Caenorhabditis elegans: one gene and its partners. Changing the gene in region 2 together with the main gene of any one other region gives a genetic interaction. Each region holds a gene or a part of one and is shown on either strand. Other genes may lie near its edges. The genes, in order: ikb-1, act-1 and ZK512.4.

Region 1 (5,791 bases), on a different chromosome or scaffold from region 2:
AGACGACGCGCCCAATTTGAACGACACGGTTGAAGACCATGTTTACTGAAAATTAAATAATAAATCAAAATTATAACGCGTACATTGAGAAGTGAAGAAACACCGAAAAAATTGACTTCACCAGCTAAAACGATATATTTTGAGCAAAAACTTATGATTTTAGTATTAATCGATAGACAAACTGGTTCTGAATTTTTCTTATATCGTTTTTATCACAGAAACAACCGAAAAATATCAAAAATTTGCTGAAAAAGAAGAAAATTTGGGAAAAAAATCGCAAAATGAGTAAGACAGCCATAGGCTACGGTGACAATTTCGTGGCGAGACCCACATGGGGCGGGACACGTGCAAGTATGCGGCGCACCCAACGCAACTGCGGCGCAGTTTATCTCATCTTTTTCATTGTAGGAAGGGGAACTTTGCTCAATTGTTTGCTCTTATGTAATTTCAGTGATTAATGTATGTATTTGTACTGAACCTGTATGAATTTCATTAAACCGGTGAATTTTCAAAAAAGTCGTGTTCATATTTTAGGAAAAAGCAACTTAGTCCAGTTTTTCGATATAAATTGCATTTTGTAAATTAATACAGGATGCATGGTAAAGTTTTATTACTGAAAACAAAATAAATAAAAACAATTCTGCGATATTCAGTAAACATAACGGGAATCAATTAATTTAACTGCATCATCTTCTGCCATTTGATTCATAGCATCGCGCAATCGGGAAATTGATGAGTCTTCAAGTTGTTCAAATTGGTCCAAAAGAATCATAGTCGGGCTTGAATCGTCTCCCGATGAGCAAATAGAAATAAGTTCCACCATGTGATCACAATTGAGTTGTTGTGCCAATCTTTGCCATTTGCACTGATCATCAAATATTTTTGCAACGCGAATTCGGGTCAAATAATCTAAATTGCAGACCGAATCACTAAGCTTCGGATTCCGATCCCATTCACTTCGACGCCTTCGTGTTCCCGACGATGTTGAGGGTCCCGGCTGTTGCTCATCTTCAGATTCAGATGTGGATATTCTCGAAACACGTGGAGCCATGGAGTCAGTTTCAGCGAGAAGAGTTTGAGCGTCTACAAAAACGGATCTAATTTCAAAAAATCTTTCAGAAAACATACCATTTAATATTTCTTCTCTAGATCTCTTCACAACTCTGTGCCGCCCACTCTCTTCACCTGGAGCCTGATCTGGATGAGATCTCCCAAATAAGGGAGATCTAGAAATAGCTAAATCATTAGGAACACCAAAAGCTTCTTTCTTGGGTAGTTCGGGTCTATCTCCATTTATAATGTTTTGAATAACACTATCTTCACTATCTGCCAAGCATATTCCTTTAGAATTTTGTCTATTCGGATCAGCTCCATTATCTAAAAGAAGGCCAATCACTGGATAGTTAACGTTTTTTACAGCCAAGCTCAATGCAGTCTCTCCAGATTCATCTTCTATATTTGTTCCTGATCCTCTCTGAAAAAATATTAAATTTAAAACAATGTTTTTCTATGTACAGTTACCTCAACCAAAAGCTGAATAGTCTCAAAATCATTCATTTCAATTGCGTGCATCAACGCATTTCTTTTCTTTTCAGTATCCAAAAAATCAATCAATGCTCCCGCTTCAATGAGCATCTCAATCAACGACAGCTTCAACCTTCTTACTGCCACGTGAATCGGTGCAAATCCCTCCGAATTCAGCTGATTCACATCAAACCGTTGACCTCTAGATGGTTCTAATATTTCTTTGAAAATTGATTCATTGTATGCATCTCCAAGATAATGTAGAGCCTGAGAAGTATTGAATAATCTACACAAAGCGAACATTTTGTCTGTTATATACTTACTGTGCTCCCATGATTATCTGATATGTCAATTTTGGCTCCATGATTCATGAGATAATGAACAGCATCGGGATCTCCAGTCCTTATAGCTACATGTAGTGCAGTAAGACCATGTGTGTTTTGTACATTTATCACTTCTGAAAATATTACCCATATGCAAAATATTGCGCCAAAAATAAGATCTCCGGTCTCGACACGACAAATTTTTGCTAAATGAGAAAAGGTGTGCACCTTTAAGAAAACTACTGTAATATCAAACTTCTGTCTTTGCAGAATTTGTTAAATATAACCTTCAAAACAAACTATGAAAATTTACAAAAAATTGTCGTGTCGTATTTTCTGCGCGAAAAAATGCGAAATTTCGCGTCTTGGTGATATAAATACTGAAGTTTTTATGCCAATTCAATCACAGGTGCTTTAAATAGCTTCGTCTCAAAACATCTTACCATTTTTAATATCGGGTGGAATCACTGAAAGTAGAAGCTTTAATGAGAAGCTCTGCCCATTCTTCGCTGCCACATGGAATACTCTGGAATAAATTATGAATGTTGTAAAGGAGAGGAAAACTTGAAATCTTACGTATTTCCTTCAATATCTTGTTTTGAAATTTGTGCTACAAAAGGCTGAAGTAATGAAATTGTGTCTCCGTTGGTGGCAAATTCAAGTAAATTGTCAAAAAGCGATATTTCCTGAGTATGCGAACGTTGGATTTTTCGTGGCAAGTATTTGAAAGAAATCGTTGTCACATTATCATTTGAAGTTGAAAATCTGAGCTCCACTTCCAATTCTGAGTCTACTTTCAGAGAAGGGACTGTGAACATTACAAGCTGTAAAACATCATTAATTATATAAGTTTTTACACAGATTTTGTTACAGATTACGGAGAATGGGTACAATTTCAATGCGAATTTTATCATTTATTGAAATTATATTATTTTTTCAGTTTTCCCTTTTACGAAACGGTCCTTACCGAATGTTTCCTAACAACATCAATTGCACTCTCTTCAAATTGATCGCCTAGAAAGTGAATTGTGATGAGTTCAGTGGCGTCTCCTGTATTAAAAAGAAAGATTTTCTTCATCCGACTGTAACTTAAACTAACCAGCACCAGAACATGTTGCCCAGACGCGATCACCAGCAGATGCTTCAATAGTTGAAATATCATCAATGAATAACCGGCGATGTTGACTTGAGGATTTATGAATTGATGATGTATGGGAATTTATCTAGACAATAATTTGATATACTTTTTTATATTCATAATTGCTCGCTTCTAGAAAGTGCTTGATTATTTTCTTATTTGGCTCATATGCCATCAGGGTAAAAATTTTAAAAACTAATTTTATAGAGTTAAAATGACCAAATATAAGTATATATCTGTTCTGAAAATTTTTGATATTTTCCACCAAAAAACTGGCGATCACACAGTTTTCGCCATTCTCAATTTTGTAATTGTACCAAAAAAAAACGTTTTTTTTCTACCAATTTTATATTTACTTTATAATTATGTTTCAAATATTTGTATTTAACCATTTTAAAGGTTCAGATACGTAACTTTGCTTTAGATTTCTCACAAAGTCCAAATGGTTGGCAAATTTGGAAATTTACCAAATTTTTGACTGGGAATTTTTAGAGTTCTTTATTATGATATTTGGTTATTTTGGAATTATATTGATTATTATATTGAATATATTGATTCATATAATTCAGTCAAAATCCTCATTGAAGCTAATATATTTTTTAACTACAGTACTAGTAGTACTACTACAAACCTCTGAGTCTGATCTCGATTTGTGAACTCCATTTTCTGTGAGATTAGCATCATTTTCATCAGCTTTAGACATTATTAGAAAATGATTAAAAAACCAATAATCAAAATGAAACGAACGAGAGGATATTAGAATGAGGGTATCCCGCGAGAAAGCTTCTCTCCAACGACCACCGCCTGCTCGACTGTGTGTAAACTCGGCAAATGCCTATGTCTCTTCAACTTTTACACTATTCGCACGATCTTTGGGTTCAAGCACTTGGTCGATCGGAAAAGAGCGCGAGGACAATCTTATGACAATCTGATGGGGATGAATGAAAATATCAGCGGATTTGGAGAGAAATAGAGAAGCACAGAAAATGATGATGTGTTCGAAATGAACTAGAATGTGATATTGACCACGAGCTTACACGTAAATATCAGACAATCTAGATACTGTGTCAAAAACATTTGTTAGATAACTCGATAAACAACTATGCCAACCTAATAATATGAGGTCATATTTGGAGCTGATCAGAGTTCTCCAAGAGATCTAACAGTGGTGTCACCTTAAGAGGAGATATAATTTTTTTTTTTAAAGATGATGCAATGGACACTTCGGAATCAAAGTAAACAAATACCCAATTGAAAGTTAAGACAACTGTATTTAAATATTTAAAAAAATTTTAATAAGGACGTTGTTTTTGATAGAACTATTAATATGTTTCTATCAAATCGAGAGATCTGCAAAAGTTCTGATTTAAAAAACCGTTGTCCAATCAGCATGGGATCAATTGTGGCAAAAATGTTAAGCTTTTCGGTTTCTGAACTGCCTACTTTTCATTGATGAATTTTTTTTCCTTTTTTTTGGAACGAAAAAATTCGCAAAAAATTTTCCCGTGGTGGAGAGTTGAACTCATGTTTGTTTGTTTTTTCTGGACCCTTTTTTTTTCTTTTTTTTTGGGACGAAAAAATTCGCAAAAAAGCTCAATTATTGTTACAATTAAAATAGTCTGCAGATAAAACATTAAAACCGCTTTGAAGTGTTTTTTTTTACTCTACGTTATTTAGAAGTGTTTCATCACACACTGTAAATAAAGCACAGATTTCTGAAATAAAACAATAAAAGTTTGAAATAATCCGAGTGTTTCTTTCTAAGTATCTTTTGCATTTGCAAACATATCGCTAGTTGGAAAGTCGAGTTTTTTTTTCAGAAATAATTTGCAGTATTTGCAAGACTAATTTTCGATTTATAGTCAACTATGACTCAGAGTTAATTGAACGGCAAATAATAACGCCAAGACAGTGTGCACTGATAAAGTGAACAATGTTTTGGTAAGGTGACGGTTTACTGTTACTTTTTTCATTTTTCATCGATTTTTTAAATGTATTCCCTGTGGAACCACTATAAAAATATAAAAGACTTGATATTGGCAAAACTATATCAACAAAACAACAAAATAACTTACCGTTTTTCCTCATTAGTATTGCACCCAATTGTTCAACTTTGACAGCTTATACTATCTCAGTAATCGTTTGTACTATTCAAAATTTGTCATCTAACAATATATTTTTTAGTTCTTTTTCTATTATTTCGTAGTTTATAAAATATTGATATCTTTGAAATGAATCGAGATATAACGTTTCAAAGTTAAGTAGCCGGTGCCATACTAATAGAGGAAATACGGTAAAATTGAGAGGTTTAAATGTCACCAAAAATTAGATAAGGGAAAGAATGATCTTTAACCAAGTCTTGCCCGAGTTTGATTTAATTTAAGCCAGGAAAGTTTGGGTAAAATATAAAAAGGAGAAGAAGCTGTCGTCCCTCAAGCATTGACTTAGGATCGCTCTCGTTCCGTTAGTTCTCCTGAAATATAATTAATAGGTACGAGGGGGTCGTCGCCTCAAATCCTCGTCTCACCCTCTTTCCACCAAATCTTTGTGTACAATTGTTGTCCCTTTTTTTACTATTTTTTGTGCCTATGCCATTTCATTATCACTTTTCGAGTGTATATTCCAGCACCAAAAATGTTACAGATGAAGTAGGTTAAGGATTTGGAATTTTGGTATTCTACCAAAATTTTAACTGAAAGTTTTGAAAAATCTGAAAAATTTTGGAATGTTTTAACAAAATATATCGTTTTTAATCACATTTCAGGTCTATTTAGAGACAATATTTCAACTGGACAAAGTTTTTGAA
Region 2 (3,804 bases):
CGTTTTTCTCGCAGAGTTGAATCAATGGAGAAGTTTGTGTTCTTAATTAACATTGTTTACATTTAAAACTATTATCCGTACGGAAGTTATCATACAACCGCCTACACTTCCCTTCCTGTTCAAAGATTTTCTGTTTTCTTCCTATCAGTTCGACGCTTCTCGTCGTTTTTGCCTCCGCATGTTGTGTAAACAGATGCTTTCGCCGCCGTGGGAATAAGAAGAAACTATGGAATGTGTGCTTTCTTTCTCGAGAGACGAGCAGTATCTTCACGAACGTTGCGATTCTCGGAATCGCTCTGCGCCCACTCAAATATCTCTCATGTCGCAACTGTCTTCAACGTATTTCTCAAACAGTAACATTTTTTGGCGGCGAGTGCTTCAAGAATCTGTTAATGGTGCTGATAGACAATTTAGAAATATCAATTTTTAAATTTTTATTCACACCCGCAAATGAGTGAAAGGACAATAAGGACAAAAATGGGGCGGTTTTTTATTTTTTTGGGAAATATGCATGATGTTTCCTTGTTGCACAAAAATATGCAAACAAGAAATAGAAAGCTGGTGGTGACGATGGTTTTGAACTTGTTTGTGCAAGTTGACGAAGTTGTGCATTTAGAAGCACTTGCGGTGAACGATGGATGGGCCGGACTCGTCGTATTCTTGCTTGGAGATCCACATCTGTTGGAAGGTGGAGAGGGAAGCGAGGATAGATCCTCCGATCCAGACGGAGTACTTGCGCTCTGGTGGGGCGATGATCTTGATCTTCATGGTTCTGAAAAAAAATCAATTTAATTTGTTAACTGAAACAAAAATAGAAAACTTACGATGGGGCAAGAGCGGTGATTTCCTTCTGCATACGATCAGCAATTCCTGGGTACATGGTGGTTCCTCCGGAAAGAACAGTGTTGGCGTACAAGTCCTTACGGATATCAATGTCGCACTTCATGATGGAGTTGTAAGAAGTCTCGTGGATTCCGGCGGACTCCATACCCAAGAAGGATGGCTGGAACATAGCCTCTGGGCAACGGAAACGTTCGTTTCCGACGGTGATGACTTGTCCGTCAGGAAGTTCGTAGGACTTCTCGAGGGAAGAGGAAGAAGCGGCGGTGGCCATTTCTTGCTCGAAGTCGAGGGCGACGTAGCAGAGCTTCTCCTTGATGTCACGGACGATTTCACGCTCAGCGGTGGTGGTGAAAGAGTAACCACGCTCGGTAAGGATCTTCATGAGGTAATCAGTAAGATCACGTCCAGCCAAGTCAAGACGGAGGATGGCGTGTGGGAGGGCATATCCTTCGTAGATTGGGACGGTGTGGGTGACACCATCTCCAGAGTCGAGGACGACTCCGGTGGTACGTCCGGAAGCGTAGAGGGAGAGGACAGCTTGGATGGCGACATACATGGCTGGGGTGTTGAAGGTCTCGAACATGATTTGGGTCATCTTTTCACGGTTAGCCTTTGGATTGAGTGGGGCTTCAGTGAGGAGGACTGGGTGCTCTTCTGGGGCAACACGAAGCTCATTGTAGAAGGTGTGATGCCAGATCTTCTCCATATCATCCCAGTTGGTGACGATACCGTGCTCAATTGGGTACTTGAGGGTAAGGATACCTGAAATAGTACGCATAAATTTAATCATCGAATGTATTAATTATTTACCTCTCTTGGATTGGGCCTCGTCTCCGACGTACGAGTCCTTCTGTCCCATACCGACCATGACTCCTTGATGACGTGGTCTTCCGACAATGGATGGGAACACGGCGCGTGGAGCGTCGTCTCCGGCGAATCCGGCCTTGCACATTCCGGATCCATTGTCTACAACAAGAGCGGCAACCTCGTCGTCACACATTTTGATTAGTTTTTAATGTACCTGAAAAATTAAATTGATAATATAACACAGAACACGTGGGGAAACGGTGATAGTATTGAGCAGAATATATATTATATATATAGTGGGACAATTCATCAGGTGGGCGGTGGTAAAAACAAAATCAAATAAGGCGTGACTAATACATTGGGTGAGTCATGAACACGATTTTTATTTTAAAAATTCTTATCTATGGTGTGAGGCATTAATGGAGGAAGGAATACTTTCGAAACTTCAGTGATAGTCTTATCTCTGGTGTTATCTGTTCGCTTATCAAAATGCTGTATTTGAAAAAAGTGTTCAAAACTTATTGCAAAATAGCGAAGAGTAAATAAAAGAAATTGAAAGAAAGCGTGGAGATGAGTGAGCTCTGTAAAACTGGGCACCGTTGCTTTTATACTGTGCCATGAAAGACAATTCTGCGTATTGGATTCACCGACTACACAACGAATTAGTGACTATGAGAAATAGAGAGGATCCAGACACCCGCGGGAGAAGACTCCACCCATAAACTCCCTCTTTCCACGGGAGCATCCCTCTTGCCAAGTTCTTCGTATTGGCCAGAGCCCACAACGCCCTCTAGCTATCTTATCCCTCCCTTTTCTCTTCATTTCCTCACGATCTCTCAGTGATCGGACCGATTGCGAAGGCGAGGAGTCCACGAGAGAGGAGGTGAGAAGAAATATGTGGCAACGTTTTTTGTCTATGACGAGAAGGGTGGGAGGTTTACGAAAACAACAATAACTTTTAGAAAGATGATGGGCGAACAGGTAAAGATGAGTAAATTTAATGAATACGTAAAAATGGTATGACCTAAATAATGCACAGGTAAATTAAAGCCAATAACAATTTACTGGAATTTCAATAGCTTCTGTAGAATGCGATTAAAGACGACTGTATTTTATATTTGGCATAAAACTGTTTTTTTTAAATTTAAACGGATATTTTAACAAAACTACAATATGTTTTAATTCATGTTGAATCTAACGTATTTGAATAAATAAATAATAAGTTATATATGATGGTCCGTATTCACTGTATTAATCGGAATCTAAAAATAGTGCATATTTGTTTCCAATAAATGAATTCATCTTACATGCTCACAATTCTTCAAATTCAATAGAATGAAAAATATACTTATTAATTGAAGGCAGAGCTTGTAAATCACCCCGTTGTGCACTAATGCGAACATGTGTGATGGAACATACACTGAGCAGACATATGCTATACATCTTTTAAGGCTATTTAATATTTTCTTTCCACATTTTGAAATTAATTTATTTTTTTTTAATCTTCATTGATATTGGTCTATGTGTGCAAGCACTTGTGAGGGCGGAAAGATGTTCAGAAATCATCGGGAGAGTACCAACTGATATTGAGGAGCAGAAAAAAAACCAGTGGGGGGGGGGGGGGGGCAGGCAAGAAACTCATGCAGGATTTTCTTGGTATATTCGATGAGATAGAAATACTTTCGAAGAGTTTACAAACATCACAGCATAGGGGATCGAAAATGGCAAAAAAGTCTGCGGACCCAATCAGTAATTGGAACGCTAGTGAAGAATTTTTGCGTGGGAAGGTGCAAGGGAAATTAGATGACACATATAAATACTGGAGGAATCGTAGTCTAGATACCTTTTCACTTGAAGAAACCATAAGCCTTTCGACTTTTCTGAAGGTTTGCTTTTTTAACGATTTCCTCGTGACAGAAAGAAAATGAGGCGTGTATAACGATTAGCGCATATTGGGTTGGTTCTGGTATTGCGCTGCCCGCACAGCAATTGCTGGTTAGAAGAGCTTAAGTCAAACCATTCATTGAAACATACATTGACCGGTTTTGTCTATCCTTTTCGAAGCTATTTTCTTCTCAAGAATATATCCTTGGAAAGCCCTAGAAATTAATGTTAGAATTTTGAAGATTTAAAAATTAGAAAATTGTGAAATGT
Region 3 (2,956 bases), on a different chromosome or scaffold from region 2:
CAGACTGAAATATTTTCTTCTTCATTAAGTTTTTCAACCACGTATTGTATGATACAGGTGCGAAACTTGGCAATTTTTTGCCTACAGCTCCTGGTCTCGGAGCGACAAATTGTTGTCAGATGCGGGAGGGTGTGCGCCTTTAAAGAGTACTGTAACTCCAAACTTCATCGATTATTGTTACCACTTATATTTTTAGTTTTTCAACAAATTAATAGTGTGTTGGAAAATCACTAAACATTCTGCAGCAACTAGACAAAATTACAGTACTCGTTAAAGGCGCACAACACTTTGCATTTAACAACAATTTGCCGCGTCGAGACCGGGCACCGTATTCCAAAAATCGGATTACAGCGCACACCAATAAAATAAATAAAATTACCTCTGCTCCATCAAAAGACACTGTCGGATAGTGTTGATCATTCTTGATTGAACGCGATTTACGATGCTTACGAGAGCTATCGTTCCGGTGAGACATTATTTCTTTGTCAAGCTAGAGGAATAAATTCAAACTGAATTTATTGATTTTTAAAGCTTTGGTTTATTTTTCTATCTGTAGTGTTGAAGTTCAAGTTCACGTATTTGAAAAACAATTTCATTCAATAAATATAAACTTTTTTTATTTAAATACTTAATTAAACCATAAACATAAAACAAAGCGTGTTTATTGAGTGACAATACCGCGAAGCAGGGTCGATGACAACTTCTCCAACTTTTTTACATCCTGCAATTGATTCGTACTGTATTGAAGGCAGACCACGTCATCGGTGAGCTTCAGCACGAGCTGTCCCTTTGTGTGGTTGTACTTGGTGACGAATCTGAAAATCAAAGTTTAGTTGTCACTAAAACTTTTGGAAATCTCCATGAGGAATGTTTTAGGGGATTTTTATTTAAATTCAGCTGAATATGCCATAAATAACAAAGAAACTACAAAAAAGTTGGTTGCAGAAATATCGACAAAAAGATTTTCCAGGAAATAATCCTTTAGTAATTTATGTTTCTCACGAATAAAAATTATTGATAAAATTGATTTTCTTTCGCTTTTCTATTTTATGTAAATATCGCACATTTAAGTAATCTATAACATTTTTCAATCCCGAAAGTGACGGTTTTTTTAAAATATTACGAACTAACCTGCATTTCTCCGGATTGGCACTATGAAGCCTTTCAGCAGCTTTTGCAAATTCGTCCCAGCTTGTGAAGTATGTCATTGTTTCGAATCTGAAAAAAAACTTGATTTATAAGTATGGAAGTATTTGAATAAGTAATGAGCGCAGAAAAGAAGGAAAGACGATTTTGGAGATTACTAACAAATAATATTATTAAAATATTCAAGTCAATTAATTCATAAATTCACTAGTAAAATAGTATTATTAAATTTTAATATTAAATAAAATGCTTAAAACATAATTTGTTGCCGGCCACATTTCAAGTGTCGTAAGATTCACTGCACTGGACGCAGAGATGCAATGCCGGTGTTTGCGTACTTTTCGAATTAATTTTTTTTGCTGAATTTTAAGAATTTTTAGATAATCTTTCTTATTCCTTAATAGTTTTGAATGGGTTTTAGTCTTATAATTAAGTGAGATTTCAATCTAATTTTTTCAACAGCTTTCGTATTTGAAAATTAACTAATTTTCATAGGAATTGACGGAATACTAAATATTTTCCTTGTTTGCTTTAATTAATTACTTCTAATGAATTTATCTTCTTATTAAACGTTTTCTCCGTTTAAAATATCTTTCCCAACCTTTATCTTTTTTCAGCCGTCAAAATGACATCAAAAGTGGGTCCAGTAGCCTTGAAAACGTTCCGCGAGAAGCTCGGCCCGGAACTGCTCGAAGTATTCGATAAAAGTTACAAATCGTTCACAGATGTACAAGTAAGTTTATAATAGTTTATTTGATCGAAGTGAAATTATATCAAGTGAGGAAATGTCCAAAATTTCCAAAGTAATCAATCCTTCTTCAATTTCGCATCCTTTTTTGCATCGTCCCAAGGAAATCTGAACGGATGAGCAGGTGTCATATCTCTCCATTCTCTATCTATATCGATATCGTATTCTTTAATTTTAACGTTAAAGCATTTTGCCATCACTATCACAAATATAACTGCCACAAGAACCACGAGAAAAGCAAACACGTAGAAAGTTTCCTGAAATTAAAATAATGTTTTTAATTAAACATTTTCCACTTAAAATCCAATACCTCATCAAACAACTCGTTGAATGTTGGAACTGCTTGATTCATCTGATGAACAACGTCCAACATTAATCGAGTTTTCCCATTTTTTCGCTTCCCTTGATAATAATACGCTCCCCAGTCCTGTTTCGGTTTGTTCATTCTCTAAAATCAAGAATATAAAATAAAAATGTTTGAAATATACAAGAAAAAGCATAGCATAAAATGGGTCAGAAGGGTGGGAGAAAGGATATTGATCGGGAGTTAGAGAGACGCAGACATGAGAGCAAAGGAGGAGTGTGCTCTCCTCAAAGCTGAGGAAAAAGCCATTTGATGTAGAAAGTAGTAGGAATGCATCTTTATTTAATTATCCAATTTCAGGTTCTCTCTGGAACACATCTCCTTAACCTGTCTGATGTTGTCGTTGAATCTCCAACTGGATCTGGAAAGACTCTTGCTTTCGTTTTACCAATGATGAGAATGATTCAAAATGCAAAACTTCAGCCTGCTGACATTGGAGCACTTATTCTATCGCCTTCAAGAGAGCTCTGCAGTCAAATCGTTAGCGTAATTCAACCATTCGCAGAGAAACTCAATTTAACTGTGGAAACAGTTACTGGAGGACAGAAAGTGGACAAAAATATCAAGATGTTCAAGAATAAAAAGTATGTTCGTATTTTTATGCGGAGTAAAAGATGAATTACAAAAAGTTCGCCAAAAAAAGCGAATTTCTTAATGAGACCTCAAAAAATTTCCATCATTTTTATGACGGTTTGAAA

The links.
Region 1: of act-1 (region 2) and ikb-1, changing one enhances a phenotype caused by changing the other (phenotypic enhancement), as found in Caenorhabditis elegans (one study listed by BioGRID).
Region 3: of act-1 (region 2) and ZK512.4, changing one enhances a phenotype caused by changing the other (phenotypic enhancement), as found in Caenorhabditis elegans (one study listed by BioGRID).

Annotation. Positions count from the first base shown.
Region 1 is NC_003279.8:9,683,451-9,689,241, reverse strand, and holds ikb-1 (Death domain-containing protein), read right to left. Parts: upstream 3,845-5,791; 5' UTR 3,689-3,844; coding exon 3,617-3,688; intron 3,071-3,616; coding exon 2,947-3,070; intron 2,898-2,946; coding exon 2,815-2,897; intron 2,672-2,814; coding exon 2,424-2,671; intron 2,374-2,423; coding exon 2,291-2,373; intron 1,982-2,290; coding exon 1,848-1,981; intron 1,792-1,847; coding exon 1,522-1,791; intron 1,475-1,521; coding exon 1,129-1,474; intron 1,084-1,128; coding exon 650-1,083; 3' UTR 589-649; downstream 1-588. Other genes in the region: rpl-14 (Large ribosomal subunit protein eL14), read right to left, coding at 1-40.
Region 2 is NC_003283.11:11,079,112-11,082,915, reverse strand, and holds act-1 (Actin-1), read right to left. Parts: upstream 1,865-3,804; 5' UTR 1,844-1,864; coding exon 1,654-1,843; intron 1,606-1,653; coding exon 825-1,605; intron 773-824; coding exon 613-772; 3' UTR 501-612; downstream 1-500. UniProt on the Caenorhabditis elegans protein: Actins are highly conserved proteins that are involved in various types of cell motility and are ubiquitously expressed in all eukaryotic cells.
Region 3 is NC_003281.10:9,143,602-9,146,557, reverse strand, and holds ZK512.4 (Signal recognition particle 9 kDa protein), read right to left. Parts: upstream 1,219-2,956; 5' UTR 1,209-1,218; coding exon 1,132-1,208; intron 816-1,131; coding exon 662-815; 3' UTR 599-661; downstream 1-598. Other genes in the region: ZK512.8 (uncharacterized protein), read right to left, coding at 1-4, 380-475; ZK512.11 (uncharacterized protein), read right to left, coding at 1,954-2,151, 2,205-2,339; ZK512.2 (putative ATP-dependent RNA helicase DDX55 homolog), read left to right, coding at 1,772-1,879, 2,559-2,842. UniProt on the Caenorhabditis elegans protein: Component of the signal recognition particle (SRP) complex, a ribonucleoprotein complex that mediates the cotranslational targeting of secretory and membrane proteins to the endoplasmic reticulum (ER).